7 linked regions of the Callithrix jacchus genome follow. The protein of the gene in region 6 purifies or fractionates together with the protein of the main gene of each other region. This does not show direct contact. Links are inferred from orthologs where the notes say so. Each region holds a gene or a part of one and is shown on either strand. Other genes may lie near its edges. The genes, in order: SERBP1, KHDRBS1, CTPS2, EEF2, melanoma-associated antigen D1, OTUD5 and CNP.

Evidence for each region.
Region 1: the proteins of OTUD5 (region 6) and SERBP1 purify together in Homo sapiens (affinity purification with mass spectrometry, with the first as the bait; 3 studies listed by BioGRID). This does not show direct contact. The link is inferred for Callithrix jacchus from reciprocal best matches to the Homo sapiens genes OTUD5 and SERBP1.
Region 2: the proteins of OTUD5 (region 6) and KHDRBS1 purify together in Homo sapiens (affinity purification with mass spectrometry, with the first as the bait; 3 studies listed by BioGRID). This does not show direct contact. The link is inferred for Callithrix jacchus from reciprocal best matches to the Homo sapiens genes OTUD5 and KHDRBS1.
Region 3: the proteins of OTUD5 (region 6) and CTPS2 purify together in Homo sapiens (affinity purification with mass spectrometry; 3 studies listed by BioGRID and IntAct, with this or other methods). This does not show direct contact. The link is inferred for Callithrix jacchus from reciprocal best matches to the Homo sapiens genes OTUD5 and CTPS2.
Region 4: the proteins of OTUD5 (region 6) and EEF2 purify together in Homo sapiens (affinity purification with mass spectrometry, with the first as the bait; 3 studies listed by BioGRID). This does not show direct contact. The link is inferred for Callithrix jacchus from reciprocal best matches to the Homo sapiens genes OTUD5 and EEF2.
Region 5: the proteins of OTUD5 (region 6) and melanoma-associated antigen D1 purify together in Homo sapiens (affinity purification with mass spectrometry, with the first as the bait; 3 studies listed by BioGRID). This does not show direct contact. The link is inferred for Callithrix jacchus from reciprocal best matches to the Homo sapiens genes OTUD5 and MAGED1.
Region 7: the proteins of OTUD5 (region 6) and CNP purify together in Homo sapiens (affinity purification with mass spectrometry; 3 studies listed by BioGRID, with this or other methods). This does not show direct contact. The link is inferred for Callithrix jacchus from reciprocal best matches to the Homo sapiens genes OTUD5 and CNP.

The regions. Positions count from the first base shown.
Region 1 is NC_133508.1:104,660,193-104,663,692, forward strand, and holds part of SERBP1 (SERPINE1 mRNA-binding protein 1), read right to left. Parts: intron 2,342-3,500; coding exon 2,191-2,341; intron 1,305-2,190; coding exon 1,164-1,304; intron 1,055-1,163; coding exon 965-1,054; intron 333-964; coding exon 210-332; intron 1-209. UniProt on the Homo sapiens protein: Ribosome-binding protein that promotes ribosome hibernation, a process during which ribosomes are stabilized in an inactive state and preserved from proteasomal degradation.
Region 2 is NC_133508.1:68,627,093-68,631,179, reverse strand, and holds the start of KHDRBS1 (KH domain-containing, RNA-binding, signal transduction-associated protein 1), read right to left. Parts: upstream 2,801-4,087; 5' UTR 2,668-2,800; coding exon 2,286-2,667; intron 1-2,285. UniProt on the Homo sapiens protein: Recruited and tyrosine phosphorylated by several receptor systems, for example the T-cell, leptin and insulin receptors. Once phosphorylated, functions as an adapter protein in signal transduction cascades by binding to SH2 and SH3 domain-containing proteins.
Region 3 is NC_133524.1:16,988,841-16,993,058, forward strand, and holds the start of CTPS2 (CTP synthase 2), read right to left. Parts: upstream 2,801-4,218; 5' UTR 2,537-2,800; exon of another isoform or gene 2,459-2,536; intron 2,218-2,458; exon of another isoform or gene 1,611-2,217; intron 1-1,610. UniProt on the Homo sapiens protein: Catalyzes the ATP-dependent amination of UTP to CTP with either L-glutamine or ammonia as the source of nitrogen. Constitutes the rate-limiting enzyme in the synthesis of cytosine nucleotides.
Region 4 is NC_133523.1:3,731,580-3,734,859, forward strand, and holds the end of EEF2 (elongation factor 2), read right to left. Parts: intron 2,523-3,280; coding exon 2,169-2,522; intron 1,962-2,168; coding exon 1,779-1,961; intron 1,702-1,778; coding exon 1,569-1,701; intron 1,194-1,568; coding exon 1,000-1,193; 3' UTR 501-999; downstream 1-500. UniProt on the Homo sapiens protein: Catalyzes the GTP-dependent ribosomal translocation step during translation elongation.
Region 5 is NC_133524.1:52,079,036-52,083,298, forward strand, and holds the start of melanoma-associated antigen D1, read left to right. Parts: upstream 1-1,463; 5' UTR 1,464-1,505; intron 1,506-4,263. UniProt on the Homo sapiens protein: Involved in the apoptotic response after nerve growth factor (NGF) binding in neuronal cells. Inhibits cell cycle progression, and facilitates NGFR-mediated apoptosis. May act as a regulator of the function of DLX family members.
Region 6 is NC_133524.1:49,516,467-49,520,491, reverse strand, and holds the start of OTUD5 (OTU domain-containing protein 5), read left to right. Parts: upstream 1-1,225; 5' UTR 1,226-2,040; coding exon 2,041-2,634; intron 2,635-4,025. UniProt on the Homo sapiens protein: Deubiquitinating enzyme that functions as a negative regulator of the innate immune system. Has peptidase activity towards 'Lys-48'- and 'Lys-63'-linked polyubiquitin chains. Can also cleave 'Lys-11'-linked ubiquitin chains (in vitro).
Region 7 is NC_133506.1:91,255,877-91,259,040, reverse strand, and holds part of CNP (2',3'-cyclic-nucleotide 3'-phosphodiesterase), read left to right. Parts: intron 1-2,430; coding exon 2,431-2,570; intron 2,571-3,164. UniProt on the Homo sapiens protein: Catalyzes the formation of 2'-nucleotide products from 2',3'-cyclic substrates. May participate in RNA metabolism in the myelinating cell, CNP is the third most abundant protein in central nervous system myelin.

The sequences.
Region 1 (3,500 bases), on a different chromosome or scaffold from region 6:
TGGAGACCTGGGTAATACAGTGAGACCTTGTCTCTATTCCCTGCCCCCCCCCCAAAAAACATTCTTTTAAATACTCTTTTAGGGATGAGAGTACAACCTCTCTTCCCAAAAACAAAAAGCCATCAACAACAACATTAAATCTATGGGTTATCTTACTGGATAAGTGCTTTCAATTCTGGGTCATTACTATTACACGCAAAACCACTTACTTATTTTCAGTGTCTGCCACTGGATGATGTTCTTCACCTTCAGGTGTTTCCTCAGTCACATTTGATTGCTCCAAGTCACTGTAATTATAAGATATTTGTTTCTGAATGTATTTGGGAGACTCTCTAAGGAAAGAAAAGAAAAAGAAAGGCATCTAGGTCCATTTACATGTAGTGGAAGAGTTCTTCATACAAAAATACCATAAGCCCTCACTTTCTCTAACTCCTTTCCTACTAAATATACTCCCCAGTAGACCTCCAAGGGGAAACAATATAAACTATTGGTTAAGTTAATTCATATACTTCATACTTAAAAAGTAACAGAACATAAACTGGTTATTCTAGTTGGGGAAAAATAAAAGGTAACAGAACAAGGCAGTTATTTCTAAAACAAAGCTTTAGTAGCTTATCAAATTATGTAATGATAACAAAGTCGAAAGCTAAAATAAGAACTATTAACGACACTAGAAAAATCAGAATACCCAAATAACCTTATTGTGGGGTTTCAAGAAAAGCTACAAATACACATTGAAAAAATGAGTAACGAATATATTAAAGTATAGAAAAACTGGCCATTCAATGCACTAGAACCCAAACCCATCCCATAAGACATTATCCTGTAATATAATAGCTCTCAGAAGAGAGGATTCATTCTTATCTCAGAGATAAGTAAAATTTAACACAGGTATGGATTAACCTTTAGTTAGGTACAGAATTTTATTAAAGTTAGCTTTGTTTTAAAAAATCAGAATACCAACGTTAATTCGTCTTTGACAGTTCCCCAGTTGTGAGATCCGCTACCTCCACGTTTGTCCTCGTGCTTCAGGCCACTGTAATGTGAAAAAGAACTAACAAAACTGAGTTAACATAATACTCTTTTGTTCTAGAAATTCAAAGTTTGTTTATTAAATAAATAGATTAAAATATTGAAATAAAATAAAAACCAGTAAGACTTACGATCTATCACTTCCACTATGCCTATCAAATTCACGTTTGCCACGAGAATCAAATCCATCTCCTCGGCCCATTCCACGTCCACGGCCCCCTCGACCTCTTCCAAGACCACCACGACCTCGAATAGGTCGGTCAATAATCGGTCTATAATATAAATAAATAAATTATACTTCCATAGTTTCCAGAAGAAATGAGGGAAATCCATTCAAAAGATCAAAAATACACAACATATTTACTGGCTCATAAACCAATAGTTTATGATTATCAATTCAACTAAAGTGTTTCCATTACCAGAGACCTAAGTTTGACAATGCACACATTCAGCTGTTTCTGTGAAAAACTAGTAGACACAACTAGACAGACTGCCACCTGGCAATTATGCCCAATTTATAGCTTAACATTAATATGTGACTCCATAGACTAACAAAATATGAGGACTTTTTTGGCTCATGCCCCAATGCTGCAGGAAGATAGCTTGAGCACAGGAACTCAAGACCAACCCATGCAATAAAATGACATCTCAGCTCTACAAAAAATTTTTTAAAATTAAGCTTTGTGGGCTGGGCGCGGTGGCTCAAGACTGTAATCCCAGCACTTTGGGAGGCCGAGGCGGGTGGATCCCAAGGTCAAGAGATTGAAACCATCCTGGTCAACATGGTGAAACCCCGTCTCTACTAAAAATACAAAAAATTAGCTGGGCATGGTGGCGCGTGCCTGTAATCCCAGCTACTCAGGAGGCTGAGGCAGGAGAATTGCCTGAACCCAGGAGGCGGATGTTGCGGTGAGCCGAGATAGCGCCATTGCACTCCAGCCTGGGTAGCAAGAGCGAAACTCCATCTCAAAAAAAAAAATTAAGCTTTGTGGCAGCGTTACCCTGTAGTCTGAGTTACTCAGGAGAAGGCTGACATGGTAAGATAGCTTGGGCCCAGGAAGCAGAGGCTGTAGTGAGTTGAGCTTGTACCACTGCACTCCAGCCTAGGCGACAGACCAAGACCCTGGCTCAAAAACAAAAAAAAAAAACACAACTTACCTATCAACTGAAAATTCACCCCCTTCACCCTTTTCTTCAAGTGGCTTTTCAAATCTTCGTTCACGAGGTGGTCGCCTTTCTGGTCTTCTATCAATTATTTTCCCTTCACCCTGAAGTTGTTGATCAGGTCTTCTTCCAACTCGTCTTATTCCTAAAACGATAGATAACCTGCATAAGCAAATTATTTTTGCAATACAAAAAGTTTAGGCCTGGACTATCAAAATCCACTTCTCTACCAATCCACTATCACTTCCTGTCGGAAAAAAGCTAACACTGGGCATCTCTAATGTCAACGAAGTACCTTAGCCAAACTGCCACTTAAAAGACAATGAACCTTGCAATCCATACCACTGACTAAATACATAAATAAAATTAAGACAATAAACTTGTTTTAAACTTCTATTCAGTTTGCCAAGTTATTCTCTCCCCAAAAGAATTTTCTATAACTGACTTGAAAGTCATTTGGGCAGCCATTTTTCCCATCACTTTCCAAGATATCAGCAGTCTCTTAATTAAGTTTTAAATTAAAAAAAATCTTAGGCAAGCAATACACTTTGGCTTTTAAAATGCCAAAGAAAATACGAGCAGCCATTCATAAATAACAAAGCAAATCATACACTCTCACTAGATATGGCCCCTCACAAAAGTGAAGGCCCCAATGTTATCCTACCTAATCTGAACAAAAATGCAATTAAGACTAATAATTCTATAAAATTACAAATCTGAAAGGAAAATATGGCATTTAGCATTATTAGAGAACATCACCTCAGTTTAAAACAGCCATTTAACCAGAAAAGGTGTCATCTTTTACAGTACTGTTAACTATAGGCACACAATAAGGGCCATCTTCCCCTATTAAATAGTTTAAAAATGCACAGCATATAAAGTGTATATATGTTTGTACACAGTATCACATCCCTAAGTACTTCCAAGTTAGGAAACATTTACTTACTATGGATGGAGAGTCCTCTTAAAAATGTGCCCTAACAACTATCTTTATTTTCAAAGAATCTTTAAAAACCAAATACACACACATAAGACCCCTTTTAAGCAATATGTAGAAAATAAGAAACTTGTGACACTCAGTGATAGCTGAAGCATTTATTAATTTCCCCCCCTTAACTGCTTTTTTCCTATAATATCTGAAACCCCACAATGGCAACCAATGTTATTAAATTATTGGTGGCCTTAAGGATCAATAGAGTGATGGTTAAATTAATGACTGTAAGATTGCCAGTATGCTGTAATTCCCAATTTCTAACAAAATCATAAAGCAGCCGAGGAATTGGTTTTACAAGACTTTAAGCTGC
Region 2 (4,087 bases), on a different chromosome or scaffold from region 6:
GTGCCATTGCACTCCAGCCTGGGTAACAAGAGCAAAACTCTGTCTCAAAAAAAAAATTTAATGTAAAGTGCTCAGACACCAAACATTAAATATAGCTATATTTTTCTTCCATGTTTTTATTTTATTTTATTTTATTTTTTTGAGATAGGGTTTCACTTTTGTTGCCCAGGTGGTGTGCAATGGTCAGACGTGGGCTCACTGCAACCTCCATTTCCCGGGTTCAAGTGATTCTCTTGCCTCAGCCTCCCAAGTAGCTGGGATTACAGGTGTGTGTCACCATGCCCGGCTCATTTTGTATTTTTAATTTTTAATAGAGATGGGGTTTCACCATGGTGGTCAGGTTGGTCTCAAACTTCTGACCTCAAGTGATCCACCCTCCTCAGCCTCCCCAAGTGAGCTACCGGCGCCTGGCCCTTCCATTTGTTCTTACTAGAACTTAAATATTACTATTCTATCTTCTCAAAGTCTCACTTCTTCACAGTGGGTTGTGACTTCGCTGCAATTCCTTTGCAAGATAATTCAGAAGTACCTTAAAAGCCAGGCTCTGGCAGGGCGTGGTGTCTTACGCCTGTAATCCCAGAACTTTGGGAGGCCAAAGTGGGCGGATCATCTGAGGTCAGGAGTTCGAAACCAGAGTGAGCAAGAGGTGAAACCCCATCTCTACTAAAAATACAAAAATCAGTCAGGCATGGTGGCACTCGCCTGTAATCCCAGCTACTCAGGAGGCTGAGGCAGAAGAATCGCTTGAACCCGAAAGGTGGAGGCTGCAGTGAGGTAAGATAGCGCCACTACATTCCAGCCTGGGTGACAGTGAGACTCTGTCTCAGAAAAAATAAAAAGCCAGGCTCAATATACATTAACACTTATCAATGCCACAAAGAATCCATACATCCCGATTTCATTCTTTCAGTGAACCAACATTACCTCAAACACACTTACCAATTTCAGTTTGGTTTAAAGAAAAAAAAAAAAAATTCATCCAGAAAACAGAAGTTAAAAATAAAGAGCGCTCTCTTAGTTAAGCAGTGAGGGGAGACTGAAAATTACAGGGAACTTTTAAGGGTCAATAGTTTTTGACAGTTATCTTAAAAAAGCATAAAAGATGAACACCACATTGGTAAAGAGCCCTTAACTTACAGTGTTGGGAGACAGAACAAAGGGAGGGAGGTAATATTTTCATAACGAACTGTTCATTATATTAACCTTGCCATAGAGTCCAACCACTCATTCAGTGTTGAATGATGGGAATTTTTACTTGCATACTAAAATTTAAGTATCATAAGAAATATTTATTAAAATAATGTTTTAACTAGAAGTGGAGGTCAGACAGCTTTAGGGAAAAATCAGGGCGACTAGGTGATTGGCCAATGCTGATCAGAAAAAGAGCGCTAATCTACAGAACAAAGACTCATTTCTTTTTCACTACTGAATAAAATATGTAAAACAAAGCAACAAAAAGACCAAGACTTTCAGTACAAGCATCATGCAACTTCTCTCAATTTCTGTCCATCTCGTTGGGAAACGTCATGAGAACTACGCGGCAGTCCCTATCGTCCCATTTCAACGTCTCTAGGGTTATTTCACTCCTTCTTCAATGGTGAACCCACGGTGTAAAATTAAAGACAACCTTCAAGCTCAGTATAGCAATTCTTATTTTATCAGCCTTAGTAGGAAATCTGATTCGAAAACCTCAAGCTCCGATCCCCATAAATCGCTCCTTCCTCCCAGCAACTTAAGCTGCGGTTACCGCTAAGTCCGGCTCGGCCCCAGAGACAGCGACGCGCTGGACAGGGCATTCCAGCCTCACCCCACCTCACCTCGGCCTTTCCTCCCACGGCCCCTCCCCCGTTCTGGCTGTCTTCACCTCCCACACCTCGGTCGAGGGGCTCATTGCCACTCGCGATCAAAAAGGCTTCCCCCTCGGGGAAAGGGGGAAATACAGGTTCATTTCTGGAAGAATCTGCGCGCTCGGAGCGCGGGGCAGCCGCAGGAGGAGGGAGGAGTGAAGAGTCGGGAAAGGGGCGGGGAGCTCAGCACTATCCATCAAGATGTTAGCGCTAGGAGATCGCAAAGTCGCCTTCGGGCCTGCACTGCAGCCTAGAAATTCTCCCTCGCACTCCAGACTGAGGTGGGAATGTGGACTCCAGGGTCCCAAAAACGAAGATGAGACCGGAGCTCCCGACTTCCTCGGTCCCGAGGGGGCGGAAGGCGAGAGGAACAAAGCCAGGGCCACTCATGCCTTGGGATGGCCGGGCGACCCAGAGGGACCCGGGAGGCCCCCTTACCTGCCGTCAGCAGCTGCATGGCGTGAGTGAAGGACGGGTCGAGTGAGTCCTTCTCCGCCATGAGTTCGGGCAGGTACTTGTTCTCCGGCTCCATCTTGACCGAGGCTGTGGCTGAGGGGGGCAGCAGCGGGGTCGGAGCTGGCCCGCCCACTGTCGCGTCGGGACCCGTGGCCGAAGGCGGCAGCAGCGGTGGCGGCTGCGTGGCGGGCGAGGCGCGGGCACCTCCGCGGGATCCCCCTCCGCCTCCCCGGGACCGGTGAGGCAGCGGCGGCTGCCGAGACGGCGTCTGACGCACCGAGGGGTGGGCACCTGAAGGGTCCATGGAGCCGCTGCGGCCCGAGGACCGGCTCATGCGTGCGGCGGGGTCGTCCCGGCGCTGCATCGGGGAGGATGTGCGATCGAAGGAGTGAGAAAGCGACGCGGTAGCGGCGGAGGCCCGGGCGGCGGTTGGCGGGGGTGGGAGAGCGGGAGCGGTAGCGACCGAAGCCGACCCTAGCGACCCAGCGAGAGAGAGCACCGGAAATGAGGCGGCGCGCGTGCGCAGCCAGTCACCGGCACCGCCCTTGGGTTTCTCCGCGGAGAACAAAGTCCCCAGTCCAGCCACGGCGCCTGCGCACCACCGCGGCGTACGAAGAAGTGGCCTCCCGACTCCTGCTTTCCCTCCGCGCCCGCCAGGCCAGAATTTGGCGCGCATGCGCGGGAGGCTGCCGGCTCAGTTCGTTTCCTTTTCCACGTGACTCGGCGCTAGCGGGACACGTGGGTCCTTCCCCTTCTGGTTCAGTGGGCGGAGGGGGCGGGGGCTGTGGAATGTCTTTGTCTACGCGCGGGCCCGCCGAGTGTGGGGCGGGAGACCTGTTACTCGCCGGGCCACGCCCTCCAACGGCCGAAAGGCACGGACATTTTAGTGCGCAATGGGGTGGGGTGGTAAGGCGAGTAGCTTGGGGGCGGTCACTGAAGTGAGAAACTAAAAGGAGACTGCGGTGGGAGACCCAGAAAGGGAAGGGAGAGAGAACTGAGGCTGCCTAGGGAGGAAGAGAGGTGGGGGAGAGACAGAGACTGCACAAGGAGAAAGAAAGACTAAGGGAGAGTCTGACGCAGCAATAGCAGGGGAGATGGGGAAGGGAAACCTGGAGGGAGAAATTGAAGAAGGACGGCTTGGTGGAAACACTAAAAGCAATTGGAGGACTTGACCTAAGAGGGAGGGTTCGGATCAGAGACCTGAAGTCTAGCAAAGAAAAGGGCCCCAGACAGCAGGGAACACGAGAAGTCATTGCTAGTGTTATATATATTTCCAGTATTACATATATTGCAGTCGGTTCTAAAACGGTTGCCATTGCTGGTCAGGGAAATCTTAAAAGAAGCAGCATTTTAGCTCTTTTTACATATTTTACTGCTTTCTGTGACTTAACGTTTTGTTTAGCCGTCATTCTTGCCAGTTAAGTGTTTTTTCCGTCAAAAAGTGGGATAGAGACCAGATCCTTAATCGACGTTGGTTGCATCATTAGGATGGCTCCTTCTACCATTCCAGACTGGCTTAGAGAGACCCTTGCCACTACTCTCAAGGCCAAGGTACATACATAGTGGACAATCTTCAACGGCGTTCTCCACATCCTAGAGTGCTATATGCAAGTGGAGCCTTAGGTTCCTACTTGTCCCATAAACCATCAAAAGCCTAGTGCCTTAATTTTTCCTTCCCTCCACAGATTTTTTTTCTTCTCCCATTTAAAGCACTCGAGACTCCCATCCCTTTTCCTTTTGGATCATTTCTCCTAATGAGCCCACACTTTTCCAAAAGTCTTAGG
Region 3 (4,218 bases), about 33 Mb from region 6:
TCAGATCATTTCCCTTGCATCTTTTTTTTTGTTGTTGCATTTTAGGTTTTGGGGTACATGTGAAGAACATGCAAGATAGTTGCATAGGTACACACGTGGCAGTGTGATTTGCTGCCTTCCTCCCCTTCACCTATATCTGCATCTTTAAGGGGTTTTCATTTCTTTTTTTCTTTTTTCCAGACAGAATCTCACTCTGTTGCCCAGGCTGGAGTGCAGTGTCACAATCTCAGTTCATTACAACCTCCACCTCCTGTATTCAAGCGATTCTCCTGCCTCAGCTTCATATATATATATATATATATATTTTTTTTTTTTTTTTTTTTTTAGTGGAGACGGGGTTTCACCATGTTAGCCAGGATGGTTTCGATCTCCTGACCTCAAGATCTGCCCACCTAGGCCTCCAAAAGTGCTGGGATTACAGGCGTGAGCCACCGTACCCAGCCAGGGGTTTTCATTTCTAAAGGCTCCTATGCCACATAAACCTATGACTCAATAAATTGTTACATTTCTCTCTTGTTAATTTATCTCTTGTTTAAGGCTGTCAGCCATGACCCTTAGGATGAGTAAAGAAACATTCGCTCTTTCCTCTCCTACATAAGCAATTACTCATTCTCTGTATTTTCAAAAACACCATACAGCTTTTTAAAGCATATTGGATTTTTTAGAAACCTTTTTTTAAAATGCAACTTAATACCAAGGAGACACTTAATTATTTCTACTTCTTTTAAGCAAACAAATAAGTTTAACAACGTTTCAAAGGTGCAGGGAAAGACTGGCCCTGTTTTAGATCACTTCCTCCATTTGGGATGGTTTCTGGTGTCATGGCAAGTTTTTCATTCACTCTTCCATGCAGTGAACAGAACCAAGTGTTTGTAGGATAGCACAGTGTCGAGTTATGCTGTCTCCACTATCTAATAAAAAATATTACACAGTCAGGTATGTAATTTTAAGTTTCTAGTAGCCATATTTTAAAAAGTAAAAAGAATCAAATGAAGGCCGGGCACGATGGCTCATGCCTGTAATCCCAACACTTTGGGAGGCCGAGGTGGGTGGGATCAACTGAGGTCGGGAGCTTGAGACCAGCCTGACCAACATGGAGAAACCCCATCTCTACTAAAAATACAAAATTGGCAGAGCACAGTGGTGCACGCCTATAGTCCCAGCTACTGGGAAGGCTGAGGCAAGAGAATCGCTTGAATCCGGGAGACAGACATTTCAGAGAGCCGAGATAGCCACTGCACTCCAGCCTGGGTGACAGAGGGAGACTCGTCTCAACAGAAAAAAAAAAAGAATCAAATGAAGTTCATGTTAATGTTATTTAACCCCATGTAGCCAAAAAATATTCATTTTTAACACATAATGTAAGAATGTATTAGTAAGATATTTTACATCTTTTTGTGTACTAAGCTTTCAGAAATCAGATGCCTATATCTAGAGCACATCTCAGTTCGGATTTTGCCACATTTCCAGTATTCAATAACAACATGTGGCCAGTGGCTCCCACCTTAGACCAGGCCAGCCAAGAGCAAATAAAAGCAGCGGAAGCACCCAGAGACAGCTTCCCAGTGATGGCCATTTTAAAATAATATTAGACACAAAAGAGTACTTACCAGATGATCTTGTTCTATGACGTTCTAGAACAGGCAAAACTAAGCTTGATAACAATCAGAACGGGGGTTGAGTGCGGGGCCTGGGGCTGCAAGGGCTAACTGGAGGGAGGGACCAAAGAGCTTTGCAGGGTAAAAGAAATGGTCAATGTTCACGTTGGGATAATGGTTACAGGAGGGTATAATTTGTCAAATCCCATCGATTTGCACACTAAAAACGGGGCATTTTATCGTATATAAACTATACATACAATCCTTTTTTATGTTGCCCCCCTCAAAAGGTATTTTGTAGCAGCAGCGTAGTTCGGCACTATTGCTCCCTAACCCTCCAGTACGGGGAAAAAGCGAGGGTCGTTGATTAACCGGTGCACTGGGACCGGGGAGAGGACAGAAAGGCCCTGTTACCGACGCTGATCACCAGCCTCGCCGACCCCCGCTTGGGGCTTTATTTCCAACAACGCCATCTCTGGCTCTCAGGCTCCCGAAGGCCGGGAGAAGTGGGGATCCCGGTACAGGCGCGGGGGCGGGCGGGGTAGGGGAAAAACCCGTCCCGGGGACTAGCGGGACAGGCTCCGACCGCACTGGGCCCAGGTCAGAGTCCCCCAGCCCCTGCGTCACACCCGGCAGCCGCGGTCGGCGAGCGCGGGATGCTGGACGCGGGGAGCTGGCGGCCGGACTCTGGACTCAGCGCTGGGGAGTGAGCGGGCGCCATCAGAGAGGGGACAAAGGAGTCCGGCCCTACAAATACCCCGGGGCTGGGGGTGCGGGGCGGAGAGGCCTTGGGGATGCGGGGCGGCCCGGGCGGGCGCCGAGGCCCTGGGGGTCTGGAACAGGCCCAGGAGGGAAGTTACCTGCGCAGTGATGGTAGCGCCGGGGAGGGTGGCCGACGGGGACGGTAGGCTCCAACCGGTTGCTGGCCTGGCGCTCACCTGTCGGATTGTAGAAGGGGACGCTGCCTGGGCTGTCCAAAGCCGCCCCCGCGATCTTCCCGCCGCCCACACGGGCCTCGGGGTGCGCAGCGCCCTCCTCGCCCACCTTCCCCTCTCCGCCCAGCTGCTGGCCCAGCTGACTCACGCTGCTGAGCTTGGGGTTTGCACCCGGGTTTGTGCAGTGGTCCAAAACAAGCGCCTAAAAAGTGATTCCTCCAGCACAGGCAGCTCCCGTCTCCCTCCTCTCTGGACGCACTGGGCCCCAAGCCTCGCCCCGCCCGGGTACCGCTCCTCCCTCCGCTGGCTCACTTTGCAAAGGCACTTCGAGTGCGCGAATGAACTCCACGCCTCCCGCAGAGCCCCCGCCCCCTGGCAGGCCGAGACCCTCGCTCGTGTCCTCCTGTCCAGATCTCACATTTGCAAAGGACTTTACTAGTCACAAACGTTTGTGAATCCCCTACTACACTCCAGGAACTGCAAGAGAATTCAGGAGAGAAGGAAAAGAAAATAGAATACCTGCCTTTGAGAGCTAGCTCACAGTCTGGTCCACCTGTCTGTTGGAAGCAGTAAGTCTCCCTAGAACTATACTCGTGCAGCAAAGAGCTGCGGGGGTGCGGGGAGGGGAGGAAGGCAATTAAGGCTTTGAAGAGTGACTTTTTTTTTTTTTTTGAGATGGAGAAGAGTGACCTTTAAGAGTATTTGGGCCGGGTGTGCGGTGGCTCACGCCTATAATCCCAGCACTTTGGGAGGCCGAGGTGGGTGGATCACCTGAGGTCGAGAGTTCAAGACCAGCCTGGCCAACGTGGTGAAACCCCTGTCTCTACTAAAAATGCAAAATTAGCTGGGTATGGTGGCGCCTGCCTGTAATCCCAGCTACTCCGGAGGCTGAGGCAGGGAGAATTGCTTGAACCCAGGAGGCAGAGGTTGCAGTGAGCTGAGATCACACCATTGCACTCCAGCCTGGGTGACACTAGAGACTCTGTCTCAAAAACAAACAAAAAAAGAGTATTGGAGGATGACTGGTGCTGGAAATGGATACAGGTGGTTTTTCAGTTGAAGGCAAGAAGCAAACCACTGAAGGAAGCTAACATGAACAATAGAAGGATCTGAAGTGAAATAGAAGGTTTTAGGAAAGTGGAGGAAATTTTGCATAACCGATGTGAGATGCTAGAGGAACAAGTTAGACAAGAGTCACTGAAGACCTAGTGGAGTTTAGAAACCATCATCATGTAGTGATGTCCAGCTATAATCTGGCAAGGTATCTGCAGAAATACAGCTCTTAGTGATGAAACGCAAGTTTGCTGCTTGCATAGAGTAGGACAATAGAGTGAGGAGGCAGAGGGCACAGAAAGACTGGGATTGCACTGATGGACCAGAGCTCTAGTCCTAGAGGACACGAACTATTAATAAAACCAGCAGGAAGCTGATGGACTGGCAAACAGATGAGAGAAGGGCTCCAAGGCCAGGGCCTCTGAGGAGAGGACTGGCAAACTGCCAGTGGAGAGTGTCGTGCTGGAGTCCAGGCCTTCAAATTGGTATTCCAGGAAACGAGACAGTTTGGGGTGCAGCAGCTACACTGGAATAGAAAAGTGAGATGGCCATCACTGGCCTCGGGTCTAGTGCCCACAAGAATGGTGCGTTGGACATCCAGGGTTCCAAAAGGATGGCAAGAGGTGGAGGAG
Region 4 (3,280 bases), on a different chromosome or scaffold from region 6:
CCAGCTACTCGGATGGCTGACTGAGGTGGGATGCTTGAACCCAGGTGGTGGAGGCTGCGTACACCAGCCTAGATGACAAAGCAAGACTCTGTCTCAAAAGAAAGTTTAAAAGCAAGCAGGTGGGTTTCTAGCAAGCTCGTCAGGACCACAGAAACTTTGATGGCAGAGAGCTTGTGAGCTCACGAGCAAGTCGGAGGGTCGCTGAAGCCTCCAGATCCTTCCGGGAGCTGCACGGCCCACGGAAACACAGTGACCTCTTGTAATCTAGTTCTTTACCACGCTGATCCGACCTCCTTCAAGTGTGCAGTAGACCCACGAGGCGGGCAGCTGCTTCTCTGAACGACACAGGGGTAGGACATTCTCACCATTCCAGAACGTTCTAACAGAGGCAGCCCCAGGCTGCACCTAACTAAAGCCCGGGTCCCCTTCCAGGTTCTGGTGAACGCTGTGCAGGGCACCCCTGCTCCCCTGCTCAGACAGTGTAATAAAGACCCAGCATGGAGTCACCACCATAGCAGATTTATTATTCCAATGGCACTGGTACAAGCTGGAGGTGTGCATGGTGACGCCACACAGAACTTCCTGCCTGCCAGAAATCATCTATCTGCTTGTCCCTTTCCCCTTTCTGGGGCAAAAGCCACAACGGGCCAATTACCCAAATAAACCTCTTAATGCGTTTGTTAAATTTGTTTGGACATCTGAGTTTCCCTCTGAAGAAATGGAAAGTGTTGGGTGTCCCATCCCACCTCCCCCTCCCCCACAGGCCCAGTAAGTCCCTGCAAAGAGGGCATGTCTGCTGCCTCTGGACTCTGGAAATAAATATCGAAAGAAACAGCATCAAGTGTCGAGGTTGAGTGATGGCGCGCAGCGGGCCCCAGAAACCTCAGGGGAGCGTCGCTGTGTCGGGACACAGTCTCCAGGTGTTGTCTGAGAACGTGAGGACGTGGTGCTGTGGGTGCTGTGAGTCCCCGGGGTGGCAGATGCTGCAGGAGTTGCCGCCTACAATTTGTCCAGGAAGTTGTCCAGGGCCGGGATGCCTTCCTTCAGGCCCTTGCGCTTTCGGGTCTCTGCCACCACCTGGCTGGGGCGGCTGGTGTTGTCGAAGGGGTCTCCAGGCAGGATCTGCCAGTGGTCGAACACGCACTGGGGGAAGGCCTGACCGCCCGTGTTAGACCTCAGGTCGGCGGTGAAGCCTGCAGAGGGAAGCAAGAGGCTCACTGGGCCGCCAGGAAGGTGGCAGGCGGGAGAAGATGCTTCCTCAGCCAGTCACCCTGCAGACCAGAGACTCAGCCTGGTGCCCAGCACTTCACCAAGGGCCTGCTCAAAGGCCCCTCCTGGGACTCATGCCCCTGATCATTCTGGACGACTCTGTGCCAACAGCTCAGCTGCTCTACTGGCCGAGTCCTTCTCACCCTGAAGATGAGAGTGCCCTCCCTGGTGAATTGAGTGATTTTGGGGTCACATGCCCCATCGGCCACCTCCTTTAACCCCCTGCTCAGCTTAACTGGGCCTCTGTCCCACCTCCCTTGCTTGCTGGGCTCTGTGGGCCACGCCAGGCCGGAACTCACCGAAGGACTCATTGACGGGCAGGTATGCCTTGACGACAAACATGGGGGTACCGGCCACCTGAGACTCCTCAAACACATGGCCCCGCTTCCTGTTCAACACCCCATAGATGCCACCGACCACCTGCTCTGGGCACTGCCGGAGTGGAAGAGATACTGTCAATGGCCGTCAGGCAGGACAGGGGCAGGGGAGAGGCGGGTGGGGGGCCTCACCTGGATCTCCACCAAGTAGATGGGCTCCATGAGGCGCGGCTGGGCGGTCAGCACACTGGCGTAGAGGCAGCGCCGCGCCGTGGGGATGATCTGACCACCCCCGCGGTGGATGGCGTCGGCATGCAGGGTCACGTCATGGACGTCGAAGCGCACGCCCCGCATGTTCTCCTCACAAAGTGCACCCTGGGCAAGGGGAGAGCCGCCGTCTAGGGCTGAATGCACCCTGGCTGTTGCCCTCCCTCCCCATGCCAAGCCCTGCAGGTCTCCACTAAGGGAACTGGTCTTGCCCACCTCAGCCCCAGGGTCCCTTGTCCCAGAAGGCAGGACCCTAAGGTCCCTTCAAGACGCTGGAAGCATGGGTGTGGCCTGCCTATGGTGGCTGTGCCTCACCTCCTTGGTGGCCCACTGGAAGCCGGCCACCACGCTGTCCTTGATCTCGTTGAGGTACTGCACGCCCTTGGTGATGTCGGTGAGGATGTTGGGGCCGGTGCCGTCGGGCCCAAAGCACCAGATCTTTCGGGCCTCAGCCACATCCCACTCGTACTTCTCAGCCAGGTAGCGCGCCCGCTGCTTGAGCTCCTGGCGGGCAGACACCTCACCCTTGTCAATGTCCTCAGCCAGGCCATCGGGGAAGGGCCGTGCCTTCATGTACAGCCGGTTGTGCTTGTTGGGGGACTTGGAGAGACAGAGCACGTTGGACTCTTCACTGACCGTCTCACGGTAAGAGACGACAGGGTCAGATTTCTGCAGAAAGAAGAAAAAGGTCACACACCTGCCTGGAGAAAGCAGGAACTTAACACGCAGAGGCATCCTTAAAAAGATTTTCTCAGCAAGGCAGACTTAATACAGCCTGGCAGAGTCACACCAGTCAGAATCAAGGTGTCAAGTGATGCACCGGCAAACGTATCTCACCGCCACCTGGGACAAGGAGCAGGGCTCCACTGAGCTCTCCGGCACAGACAACCATGGGCTTGCCCAATTCTAAGCATCCATGGGCGAGAAACCAGGTCTGGAGCAGGCCTGGCCCGACCGCACTGAGCATTTATGTTTGTGGACAGAAGCCAGTGGGATGAGCGGTCTGTGAGGAACTCAGTCGGCTCCGCTGGCTGGGCACGGTGGCTCATGCCTATAGTCCTAGCAGCTTGGGGAGGACCAAGGCAGGTGGATCACGAAGTCAGGCGTTCTAGACTAGCCTGGCTAACATGGTGAAATCCAGCCTCCAATAAGCATACAAAAATCAGCTGAGCGTGGTGGCAGGCACCTGTAATCTCAGCTACTTGGGAAAGTGAGGCGGGAGAATCGCTTGAAGTCAGGAGATGGCAACTGCATTGAGCAGCGATGGCGCCACTGCGCTCCACCATCCAGGACTGGAACGAGACACCATCTCAAAACAAAACAGTCCCACTCGTCTGCAGAAGACCCTAATGAAGACCAAGGCCAAAATCAAGTCTAGGAGCCTGTGCAGAGCCCAGCTCAGCTTTAAAGCTGAGAGTGGGATTGAG
Region 5 (4,263 bases), about 2.6 Mb from region 6:
TAAGAACTGAAATAATATACTGTAAGTTTGCTGATCATAAAAATCCAACAGTGGAAAAATAACAGGAAATTAAACATGCATTTCTAAAGAACCCATGGGTCAAAGAGGAAGTACAGGCTGGACACAATGGCTCATGTCTGTAATCCCAGGAGTTCAAGAGCAGCCTAGGTAAGGAAGCAAGACCCCATCTCTACAAAAAATAAAAAGGATTAGCTAGGCATAGTGGTATGCTTCTGTAGTCTAGCTACTCAGAAGGCTGAGGCAGGAGGAGCACTTGAGCTTAGGAATTTGAGGTTACAGTGAATTATTATCATGCCAATGCACTCCAGCCTGGACAACAGAGTGAAACCCTGTCTTACTAAAGAAAAAAAAAAAGGAACTACAAAGATAAAATCAATATATAAAAATATCAAAATACAAAATATGAAGATTGATGGGATTCAGCTAAAGCACTGTTTAGTGGGAAATGTGATTCAAATTGTTGAAATAAATTGTAAAAATGCCAACAAAACTAAGGACCTTATTGCTAGTTTCCTTCTTTGCTCTGACCACATTTTGGTCATTTATTAATTTAACAAATATTGATAAACACATATTTTATGCTAGGCTCTTAAGTGTTTAAATGTCATTTTAGCTCTAGGCTGTGGGCTTCTAGTGTAGTGTCTCTGGGTGTAGCATAGTATTTGGGACATAGTAGGTGCTCAGTATATACTTGTGGATTGACTAAAAATAACCACAAAAAGAGATCCTCCCCTTTGGTGAGAACTGTGGTCTAGATTTGGGGGCCAGGAGAACTTTCTGGAGGTAGTGTCAATAAATAATTCAATGTTAAACTTGTTCTGAAGGTATTTAACCAGAGTAGAGTTTTTAAAAAATTATTGAAACATTTTTTTCAGTTTTCATTTTCTTCCTTTTCTTGGGGAGTATGTAAAATAATGCAAGAATGCTTTCTACAGGAGTCCAGCTTTATTCTTTGGACATTTGAGTATGGTATGTAACTCTGGATACGATTTCAAAGCAAAAGTTGTTTAGACTTAAGATGTTTTGAAAAGGTTGACACATACCGCTAATACAAATGGAATTTTTTCAAAGTGGTGTGCCAGAAACAGTAAATCAGTTTGGTAAATATGTCACTGTAGACATCCAAGACAGAGAAAAATGAGGCCTAAGTTAAGGGACTAAGATGAAGGGAGATATTTCTAAGGCGAATCAATGAGAGGTGGCAAATTGCACCTGATGGATTTGGCAGAGATACTGCAGCTCCTGGCGTGACTAGAACTAGGATTTGTAAAAAGTTCGTGATTCTCTCAGCCCGTTTACAGCACAATGTAGGTGTTGATCTAGTGAGGGAGTCAATGAGATAGAGCATTGCAGAGCTTGCTAGAGAGGCACAGGAAGTCGCCTGAAGTGAAGGAGGGGGTGGCTGCTGCAGAAGCTAAAGCTTCCGCCAAACAAAAGAGGACAGCACTTCCGGTCACGCCATCGTCGCTGCCTTCTCCGTCAAGGTGAGTGTAAAGAAGGGGTCTTGGTAATTCTCACATATAAATACCGATACACTCCAGGGAGACCTCCTTTTGTGCCTCAACATGGGGTGGAAAGGAGAATTCATCCCCGCGTACGTTGTAGGAAGGATGCTTCTGACGCATGTGATTCTGATAGCTTCACTGTCTCCTCCCTTCTCCTCCGGAGATGGGAGGTCCCATCCGACTCCCCTTCCCGATTCTTGTGGTCCTTTTTATCTACCTGACTCTCGGTCATGCTTCACCTCTCTTCTTTATCCCAGATCCTCTTCTCCGGTCTGGAGGCAGGGTCATTCCCTCAATCACATTCCCTCTACCACAGGTCACTCCTATCTCCTACCTCTTACCTCCGCCTTCTGCCCCGCATCCTTTTAGCCTGCGACTCTTTGCAAGCCCCTTCCTAAACCCTGTTTTACTCCCGCTGCTGGCCTTTGGTCTTTCCCGTTCCCCTCCTCCAGAGACCAGTGAATTACGTACTTTGCAAAAGTAGGTGTGACTTCAAGGTCAAGGCTTTTTTTTTTTTTTTTTTTTTCTTTTTTGGTTCTTTTAAAGTAGAAGGAAAGAAGCAGAAACCTTAGAGCCCTAAGAGACATAGGCACTTGTTCGAATTATGTTCTTTTATTTTTTTAACTCTAAACAAAATTACACATCATTTAGATACTATTGCACAGATTTCTGTCTTCTCGTTGCATCTGTTTTTTATGTTGCCATAGGATTGAATCCCCAAATTTTTTTGGGGGGGGCGGCAAACGTAGTGGATTATACCTATAACCAGGTGTCAGAGCTTCAGAGAGCGTAAACTTTCCCATCCCCTGTAAAAGTTAGTGGAGAAATGGTTGACAGGCGTGGTATCCAGCCACAAATTTATTACTTTATATGAGTTGAGTTTATTATGCAAATTATTTTCTGGTCTCTGATAGCAGCATTAAGCACCAAGCTGACATTTTTTGAGACAAAGACTTTTTCTCAGAGCTTTGCAAGTATTACATAATCTATTTGTTGCAATATGAAATTACTTTTCTGTTACATTTGTTACCATGTCAAATTTATCTTGTGAGAACATCAGTTATTAAATAATAATCACAGTTTATTATTGCCTTTACTCAAATGATCATTAAATTTATGGTGAGAATCAGAGTTTTTCAGGCTCTATCAGAATCTAAAGAGGAATTTAACCAAAGTTTTCTTTGAACAAGCAGTTTACTCCCTCCTGTGTGTTATGCTTGCCAAAATAAGGGGTGATCCTCTTTTCTAGGCCATGGATAGTTTTTATTTAAGAATAAACAGGCCAGGCGCGGTGGCTCAAGCCTGTAATCCCAGCACTTTGGGAGGCCGAGGCGGGTGGATCACGAGGTCAAGAGATCGAGACCATCTTGGTCAACATGGTGAAACCCCGTCTCTACTAAAATTACAAAAAATTAGCTGGGCACGGTGGTGCATGCCTGTAATCCCAGCTGCTCGGGAGGCTGAGGCAGGAGAATTGCCTGAACCCAGGAGGCGGAGATTGCGGTGAGCCGAGATCGCGCCATTGCACTCCAGCCTGGGTAAAAAGAGCGAAACTTCGTCTCAAAAAAAAAAAAAAAAAAAAAAAGAATAAACAGGCTGGGCGCGGTGGCTCACGTGTGTAATCTCAGCACTTTGGGAGGCCAAGGCGGGCAGATCACCTGAGGTCGGGAGTTCCAGACCAGTCTGACCAACATGGAGAAACCTGTCTCTACTAAAAATACAAAATTAGCATGCCTGTAGTCCCAGCTACTCGGGAGGCTGAAGCAAGAGAATCGCTTGAACCCAGGGGCGGAGGTTGCAGTGAACCGAGATTGCGCCATTGCACTCCAGCCTGGGCAACAAGAGCGAAACTCCATCTCAGAAAAAAAAAAAAAAAAAAGAATACACAATGAGGCAGAGCTTTTGTGACACCAAAACCCTTAGGAACATTTCCAAAGAGTATTGCTGATGTCTGTTTATTCAAATCATTATTACGTATCATTTAAATATTATCACATTCGTTTCAGCCCACTGTGCATCTCCTCACCTGTTTTTTTCCCCACATCCCAGATATGTCATCACACAGGTAAATAACTCACTATGTATCTCTAATTTATAGGTGCATTAAGTAACCACCACATCATTATTTTACTTAGTAAGATAAATAATTTCTTCTTTTTTTTTTTTCTGTTGTTTTGTGATGAGTCTTGCTCTGTTACACAGGCTGGAGTGCAATGGTGTGATCTTGGCTCCCTGCAACCTCTGCCTCCTGGCAAGTGATTCTCCTGCCTCAACCTCCCAAGTATCTGGGATTACAGGAGCCTGCCATCATGCTTGGCTAATTTTTGTAGTTTTAGTAAAGATGGGGTTTCATTCACCATGTTGGTCAGGTTGGTCTCGAACTCTGGACCACAGGTGATCCACCCACCTTGGCCTCCCAAAGTGCTGGGATTTACTGGTGTGAGCCACTGCACCTAGTCAATAATAATTTTTTATATCATCTAATACTCAGTCTATATTCAAATTTCCATGATTGTCTTTTCTTTTTTTTTTTTTTTTTTTTTTTAATTGAGACCGGGTTTAGCTCTGTTGCCTAGGTTGGAGTACAGACATATGATCAAAGCTCACTGCAGCCTCGATCTCCTGGGCTCAAGTGATCCTTGTGCCTCAGCCTCCTGAGTAGCTGGGACTACAGGTACATGCCACCACACCCACCACACCCAGCTAAAATTTTCTTTTTTGAGACAGAGTTTTGCTC
Region 6 (4,025 bases):
ATTTATTATAGAGTGGAAATTGAGGATGGGTGCTCGCTTCCCAGCACATATACTAAAATTAGAACGATAGAGAAGATTAGCATGGCACCATTTGAAAGGATGACACGCGAATTTGTGAAGCGTTCCATTAAAAAAGTAAACAACAGGCCGGTGCGGTGGCTCACGCCTGTAATCCCAGCACTTTGGGAGGCCAAGGCAGGCGGATCAGGAGGTCAGGAGATCGAGACCATTCTGGCCAACATGGTGAAACTCCGTCTCTACTAAAATACAAAAAATTAGTCAGGTGTGGTGGTGTGCACCTGTAGTCTAAGCTACTCGGGAGGCTGAGGCAGGGGGATCCCTTGAACCCGGGAGGCGGAGGTTGCAGTGAGCGGAGATCGCACCACTGCACTCCAGCCTGGCGACAGAGAAAGACTCCGACTCAAAAAAAAAAAAAAGTAAACAACAACAATTGAGGACGGAGTGGATGCTAAATGACTTGCCAAAGATCACTCAGACAAGAAGGGCAGAGCTAGGATTAGTGTGTAGCTCTCCAGCCACTCAATAGCAGGGATTTTTGCCAACCCCATTGCGAGACGCTGACTGGTGACAGAGGTGGTTCATAAACCTCGATCGACCCAGGCAAACTTAGTTTTAGAAAAAGGCTAGGCTTGGCCAGGCACGGTGACTCATGCCTGTAATCCCAGCACTCTGGGAAGCTGAGGCGGGAGGATCCTTTGAGCCCAGGAGCTGTAGATCAGCCTGGCAACGTAGCGAGACTTTGTCCCTACAAAAAAAGTGAAAAAATAAATTAGCCGGGCGTGGTGGTGTGCACCTGTGGTCCCAGCTATTCGGGAGGCTGAGGCGGGAGAATCGCTTGAACCTGGGAGTTGGAGTCTACAGTGAGCTATGATCGCGCCACTGCATTCCAGCCTGGGCGACAGAGTGAGACCCTCGTCTCAATTAGGAAACAATTAAAAATAAAAAGGCTGGGCCGCTCCTGCGCACTAGCCATAGGGGCGGGGAGGTCACCGCGAGGGCGAGAGTGCTGTGTCGCCAGAGAAGGCGTGTCTGTTTCCCAAACAACCACTGTCCCCACGGTGCCTGTCGGTCCCAAGGTTGGTCGGTATGACGGGAGTGACGGCGTCTCTTAACCAATCACCGCAGAACTTAAGCTGTTGCTGGGGTGAAGCGGTGTCCACCTCCCCCGGAAGGGTATTTGCAGGGGGGTAATATCGGAAGTGACGCTCGAGAGGAATGCTGTGCTCTGGACTGTTGATGTTTTCCTGTCAGTCCGGCTGACAGCGTTCAAGTTGGAAGCCTGGAGGGGAGGCGTTTTTCCTTTCGTAGGTGAAACAGGCCACGCTGTCCGTCCACAGTTACGACGCCTGCAAGTGAGAGCTTCGGGGAGAAAAGTAAAGAGCAAGACGGGACCGACAGCAAGAAAGGCTGGGAACGAGGGTGTCGACTTTGACTGAAATTTGAGACGGAGGGCACCGGAGGGCAAGCACTCGCCTCTGATTGGCCCGTGGGCGTCGTCGGGGACCCACGCAGCTGCTCAATTGGTTGGTGTTAGCAATTGTTGTGGCAGCGGCGACGATTTTGCCCACGTACTTCGAGCGAGGGGCGGGGCTGTGCCCTGGCACGCGTGCGCAGCGCCCCGGGGCCCCACCCGGTAGTGCAAGAACCTGCGAGGGGGCGGAGTGAAGAGGTGCTTGTTTTGGTTCTGTCTCCTTTGAAGCAGAAGGCCAGAACGAGCGTAGCAATAAACTTGCTGGACTTGGAGAGAAGGCTACGACAAATTCGCCGCACTGCCTTCATCTTGGACTTCACATCCGGGTTCTCCCGGCGTGACCCGCGCGCCGTCGCCGCCACTGTCGCCGCCGCCACTGCCACCGCCGCCGCCGCCGCCGCCGCGGGTTCTCGGACCGGTGCCGCGATCTCTTTATCCGGGTCTCGCCGTTCCCGTCGTGCTTCGCGCACTACACTAGCCCCCTCATCCGGGTTCTCTCCCGGCGTGCTCTGCGCCGGGTTTGCTGGGGGGCACTCGGCGGTGAAGCCATGACTATACTCCCCAAAAAGAAGCCGCCGCCTCCCGACGCCGACCCTGCCAACGAGCCGCCGCCGCCCGGGCCGCTGCCCCCGGCGCCGCGGCGCGGCGGGGGTGTGGGCGTGGGCGGCGGCGGCACGGGCGTGGGCGGCGGCGATCGCGACCGTGACTCCGGCGTGGTGGGGGCCCGTCCTCGAGCTTCGCCACCGCCTCAAGGCCCGCTACCAGGACCACCGGGCGCTCTTCACCGCTGGGCACTGGCCGTGCCGCCTGGTGCAGTGGCGGGCCCTCGGCCACAACAGGCTTCTCCACCTCCTTGCGGGGGCCCAGGTGGGCCCGGCGGCGGGCCCGGTGACGCGCTGGGCGCAGCGGCGGCGGGTGTGGGTGCCGCGGGCGTGGTGGTGGGTGTGGGTGGTGCCGTAGGCGTGGGCGGCTGCTGCTCTGGGCCTGGCCACAGCAAGCGGCGACGTCAAGCTCCCGGGGTTGGCGCAGTTGGCGGGGGTAGTCCCGAGCGTGAGGAGGTCGGCGCAGGCTACAACAGTGAGGACGAGTATGAGGCTGCTGCAGCACGCATCGAGGCTATGGATCCTGCCACTGTCGAGCAGGTAAGAGCTGTGGGGTGATGGGTGGGCGGCTACGGTAGATGGGACCCCCACACTGTGAAGGTACCCGAAGGCTGTTTGAGATCTCCCCAAGGGATCTAGGCCTTTTCACTGGGCCTGACAGTCTTCTCTCGTGGTAGAGGTGTGAGACACCTTCTTTCCCCCCGTCTAGGGATTTGGGGCTAGAGGCCTACGGTGAAGTGGCAGACTTCCAAAGAGGACCTCGTAGAGATCCGAGGCCTCTTTTAGGGTCTGTAGTCGTCATTCCAGTTCCTGGGACCTCATCTTGTAGGGCCAATAGGTGGGAATTCTCCAAGAGACACAGGTAGGATCGAGCCCCTCTTGAACAGGAGTCTCAGGTTTCCCAAGAGACCTAGGTCTGTGTTCAGTGGCTTAAGAGCTCTTTTTCTCTGGGATAGAAGTTTGAGATTAGCCCTCTAGGGAAATCAAATAAAGTAGAGACCCCAGAGATGGGGTATGAACATCCCCAAGGAACCTAAGCCCCTTCAAGAGTCTGAGACACTCTGCATATAGGACAACCGTCTCCGCTTTGCTGGGTAATAGAACACAGGACCACTGAATAGCCAGACCTGAGACCTCAAGGGTCCTAACTCTGTCTTCAGGGGCCTGAGAATTCCTCTTCTAGAATCAAGGTCCTGATAAACACATAACGCCCTCTTTAAGGAGAGGGGTCTTCTAAGCTTTTTCCAGAGATATAAAACTTTTTGCAGGAAGATGATTCCCTTGCCCTTGGGGTCAGGGGCCAAAACCAACACCCAAGGACCGGCAGCTTTACTTGAGTACATGAGACTCATCCTCTTTCTGAGTGACAAAGGTCTTCATTTTCTATCAGTGGCCTGCAACCTACCTCTTTGGAGACAAGGGCCAGAACCTCTCTTCAGAATATTAAGCTCCCTGTAAGAAGAGATGGGCCCTCAAAGCCCCCACCTCCCACCAAGGGCCTGAAGCTTCTTCAGGAGAATGAGACTCAGAGGGTTGGATCCTAGGGCCTAAGATCTACCTTCTTACAGACTGAGGTGTTTTTTTTTTTTTTTTTTTTGAGACAGGGTTTCACCATATTGGTCAGGCTGGTCACGAATTCCTGACCTCAGGTGATCCACCCGCCTCAGCCTCCCAAAGTGCTGGGATTACAGGCGTGAGCCACTGCATCTGGCCCTGGACTGAGGTTTTTAGGGACTGAGTCTGAGGCCTCTTCAGGGGCCTGGTGCCCCGCTGCAGAGGTGAAGTCTTTAGGAGACCCTTCTTGAGACTGGTATCTGAGTGGTTTTGGGGGTCTCAGACTCCCCACTCCACAAGGATATGTGACCCTTTTACCTCAGTTATAAGGGACTGAAACATACCTTGGGGATACAATATCCCATCTTCTCTCTGTG
Region 7 (3,164 bases), on a different chromosome or scaffold from region 6:
GCCCAGCTGCCCCCAATTTTAGATGATCTTCATACCTGAAATAGCCCCACTCTGGTTTGTTGACATTGTGTATATTGCACAGAAGCAGGGAATTTGTGCCTGTGTGGGTTCTCAGATAACTTTTTTCTCAGTTCCTAAACTTGAGCTGTAGTATTTGCAGTGATATCATCCAGGAGCAAGCCCTGTACCTGTGAGCTGGTGGCTCTGTCCTAGAATGACTGCTGCTCAAAGTTGCTTTTACTTTTATTTTTTAACTGATTTTGAGACACAGTCTCATTCTGTTGTCCAGGCTGGAGTGCAGTGGTGCAATCTCAGCTCACTGCAACCTCCATCTCCTGGGTTCAAGTGATTCTCCTGCCTCAGCCACCCAAGTAGCTGGGATTACAGGTACCCACCATCACACCCAGCTAATTTATGTGTTTTTAGTAGAGACAGTTTCACCATGTTAGCCAGGCTAGTCTCAAATGCCTGACCTCAAATGATCCACCCTGCCTTGGCCTCCCAAAGTGCTTGGATTACAGGTGTGAGCCACCTCGCCGGGCTTGAGAATTTTAACTTCTTACAGCTCTAAAGTTGCTATTAGTGTGACCAGCTAATGAATGAATGAGCTATGTGGGTTGCTGGAAAGTTGATGCCCAGCCTATTTTTTCTTTCTTTTTTTTTTTTTATTTTGAGACAGTCTTGTTCTGTTGCCCAGGCTGGAGTACAGTGGTGTGATTTCAGTTCACTGCAATCTCTCTGCCTCAGCCTCCTGAGTAGCTGGGACTATAGGTACCTGCCACCACACCTGGCTAATTTTTTGTATTTTTAGTAGAGACAGGGTTTCACTTTGTTAGCCAGAAAGGTCTCCATGTCCTGACTTATGATCCGCCCGCCTTGGCCTCCCACAGTACTGGGATTACAGGTGTGAACCACCATGTCTGGCCTACTTTATCTTTAAATGAAAAACTGGAATTCTTTTCTGCCCAGGGTTACAGCATGAGAAATGTAATGGGCCAGCAAGGCTGCTCTCAGGAGCGGCCTTCCTCTCCTGTGGAGGGTGAGACATCTTCACAGGGGCTCAACTTAGAATATAACAGAAAAACTCTGAAGACAACCACAGGTGTGGCTTCTGGAAATCAAAATCACAGATACTCCATGCCTCTTTGTGTCTTCCAGCCCCATAATGTCACCCAATTATAGCCCAAGACCCTTCTTGTACCAGGAGGCCCCCTACAGGCTCTCATCCCCCAAACAGGCCTGCAAGGTGTGTATTCAACTGTTGGTGACCCTGTGACTGCTTGTCCATTTGGATCTCTGAATGAAATGGGGCACTAATGATAGTTCCCTGGCAGTCCTGGGAACACTGGGGTGTGCGGTCGCCCTAAACTGTTATGCTGGATTGATAGGGTCGGTCAGTTGCCCCAGGCTGATGGCTGGTAAGCAGCAGGGCTAAGATGTTCACTGTGTTCTGGCTGTTTCCACAGTACCATGTTGTTCCCAGCACTCTGTTCTTTCCACCCCACTTCCCATGACTTGTTTCCCCTTTGAGATGTGGGACTGGTAAATCTCAGATTCTCTTGGCCTGTACTGCCTGCCTCTGTTACAAATGCCTTAGAGTTTGGGGAAGAGGTAGAAAGATCTATACAATAGAAAGCCGGAGAATTTTAACTTTTTTTTTTTTTTTTTTGACACATTCTCACTTTGTTGCCCAGGCTGGAGTGCAGTGGCGCAATCTTGGCTCACTGCCACCTCTGCCTCCTGGGTACAAGCAATTCTCTGTCTCAGCCTCCTGATTAGCTGGGGTTACAGGCACCCACCACCATGCCTGGCTAATTTTTTTGTATTTTTAGTAGAGAGGGGGGTTTCACTATCGGCCAGGCTGGTCTTGAACTCCTGATCTCATGATCCACCTACCTTGGCCTCCCAAAGTACTGGGATTACGGGCGTGAGCCACCATGCCTGGCCTGAGAATTTTTAACTTTTTTTTTTTTTGAGATGGAGTCTCGCTCTGTTGCCTGGGCTGAAGTGTGGTGTCAGGATTTCAGCTCACCATAACCTCCAACGCCCAGGTTCAAGCAATTCTTCTGCCTCAGCCTCCCTGGTAGCTGGGATTACAGGCGCCTGCTGTCATGCCCAGCTAACTTTTTTTGTATTTTTAGTAGAAGGGGGGTTTCACCATCTTGGCCAGGCTGGTCTTGAACTCCTGACCTCGTGATTCACCCGCCTTGACCTCCCAAAGTGCTGGAATTATAGGCGAAAGTCACCACGCCCGGCCTGAGAATTTTAACTTCTTACAGCTCTAAAGTTGCCTTTAGTTTGAACAACTGACGAATGAATGAGCTCTGTGGGTTGCCGGAAGTGTTTTGCTCTGGGCCTCTGTGGTCCTGGTGGCAGGCGTTGGTATGCCTCTACTCCCCTGCCCTGACTGCACCGTTTTTCTCCCGGCAGTTTTCTCTGGGGATGAGACCAGGGAGAAGATTGATCTGGTCACCTACTTTGGGAAGAGACCCCCAGGTGTGCTGCACTGCACAACCAAGTTTTGTGACTACGGGAAGGCCCCCGGGGCAGAGGAGTACGCTCAACAAGATGTGAGTCTTCCCCAGGGTCAACATGGCAGAGGTGGGGGGTGGGGGCAGCAGCATCTTCTGCAGATGGGTACAAGTGACAGGCAGGGACCAAAAACCAGATGTCAGCTCAAGAAAAATGGCATCTCCTCCTAGCTCCCCTGTCCCCAGGCATATTTGCATAGACCTCAGCTTCAGGTTCTAAGGAGCCTGCTGCAGCAGTACCAGCAGCCTGTGCATTCGCCTGCCCCCAGGCGCCTTCTCCTTCTGCAGATTCATGGAGAATGCTGGTCCACAGTGGGCTCCTGCTCTGGCCCTGTTACCTTCCAAAGGCTAGGAGTCCCTTGCCCCTAGTCCTGAGGCCTGGCCTTAGAGTGAGGGAGTGTCATAGGAGAGTGAAGCTTATTGGCTAATAGGGTACTAGGCATTTCTGCACCACACAGCCGGCACCTTACGCCCACAGCCACAGGTGATGGTGATGCTTGAATGCCAGGCATGTCTCAGATCTGCAGTCTCCAACCTCCTCCAAGTGTCCAACCCCAAGCCCACCCTCCCACTTCTCTGCGTAGGTTATTACAGTTGTTTAACTGGAGCATCCTCCCAAATGGAAGCTCCCCT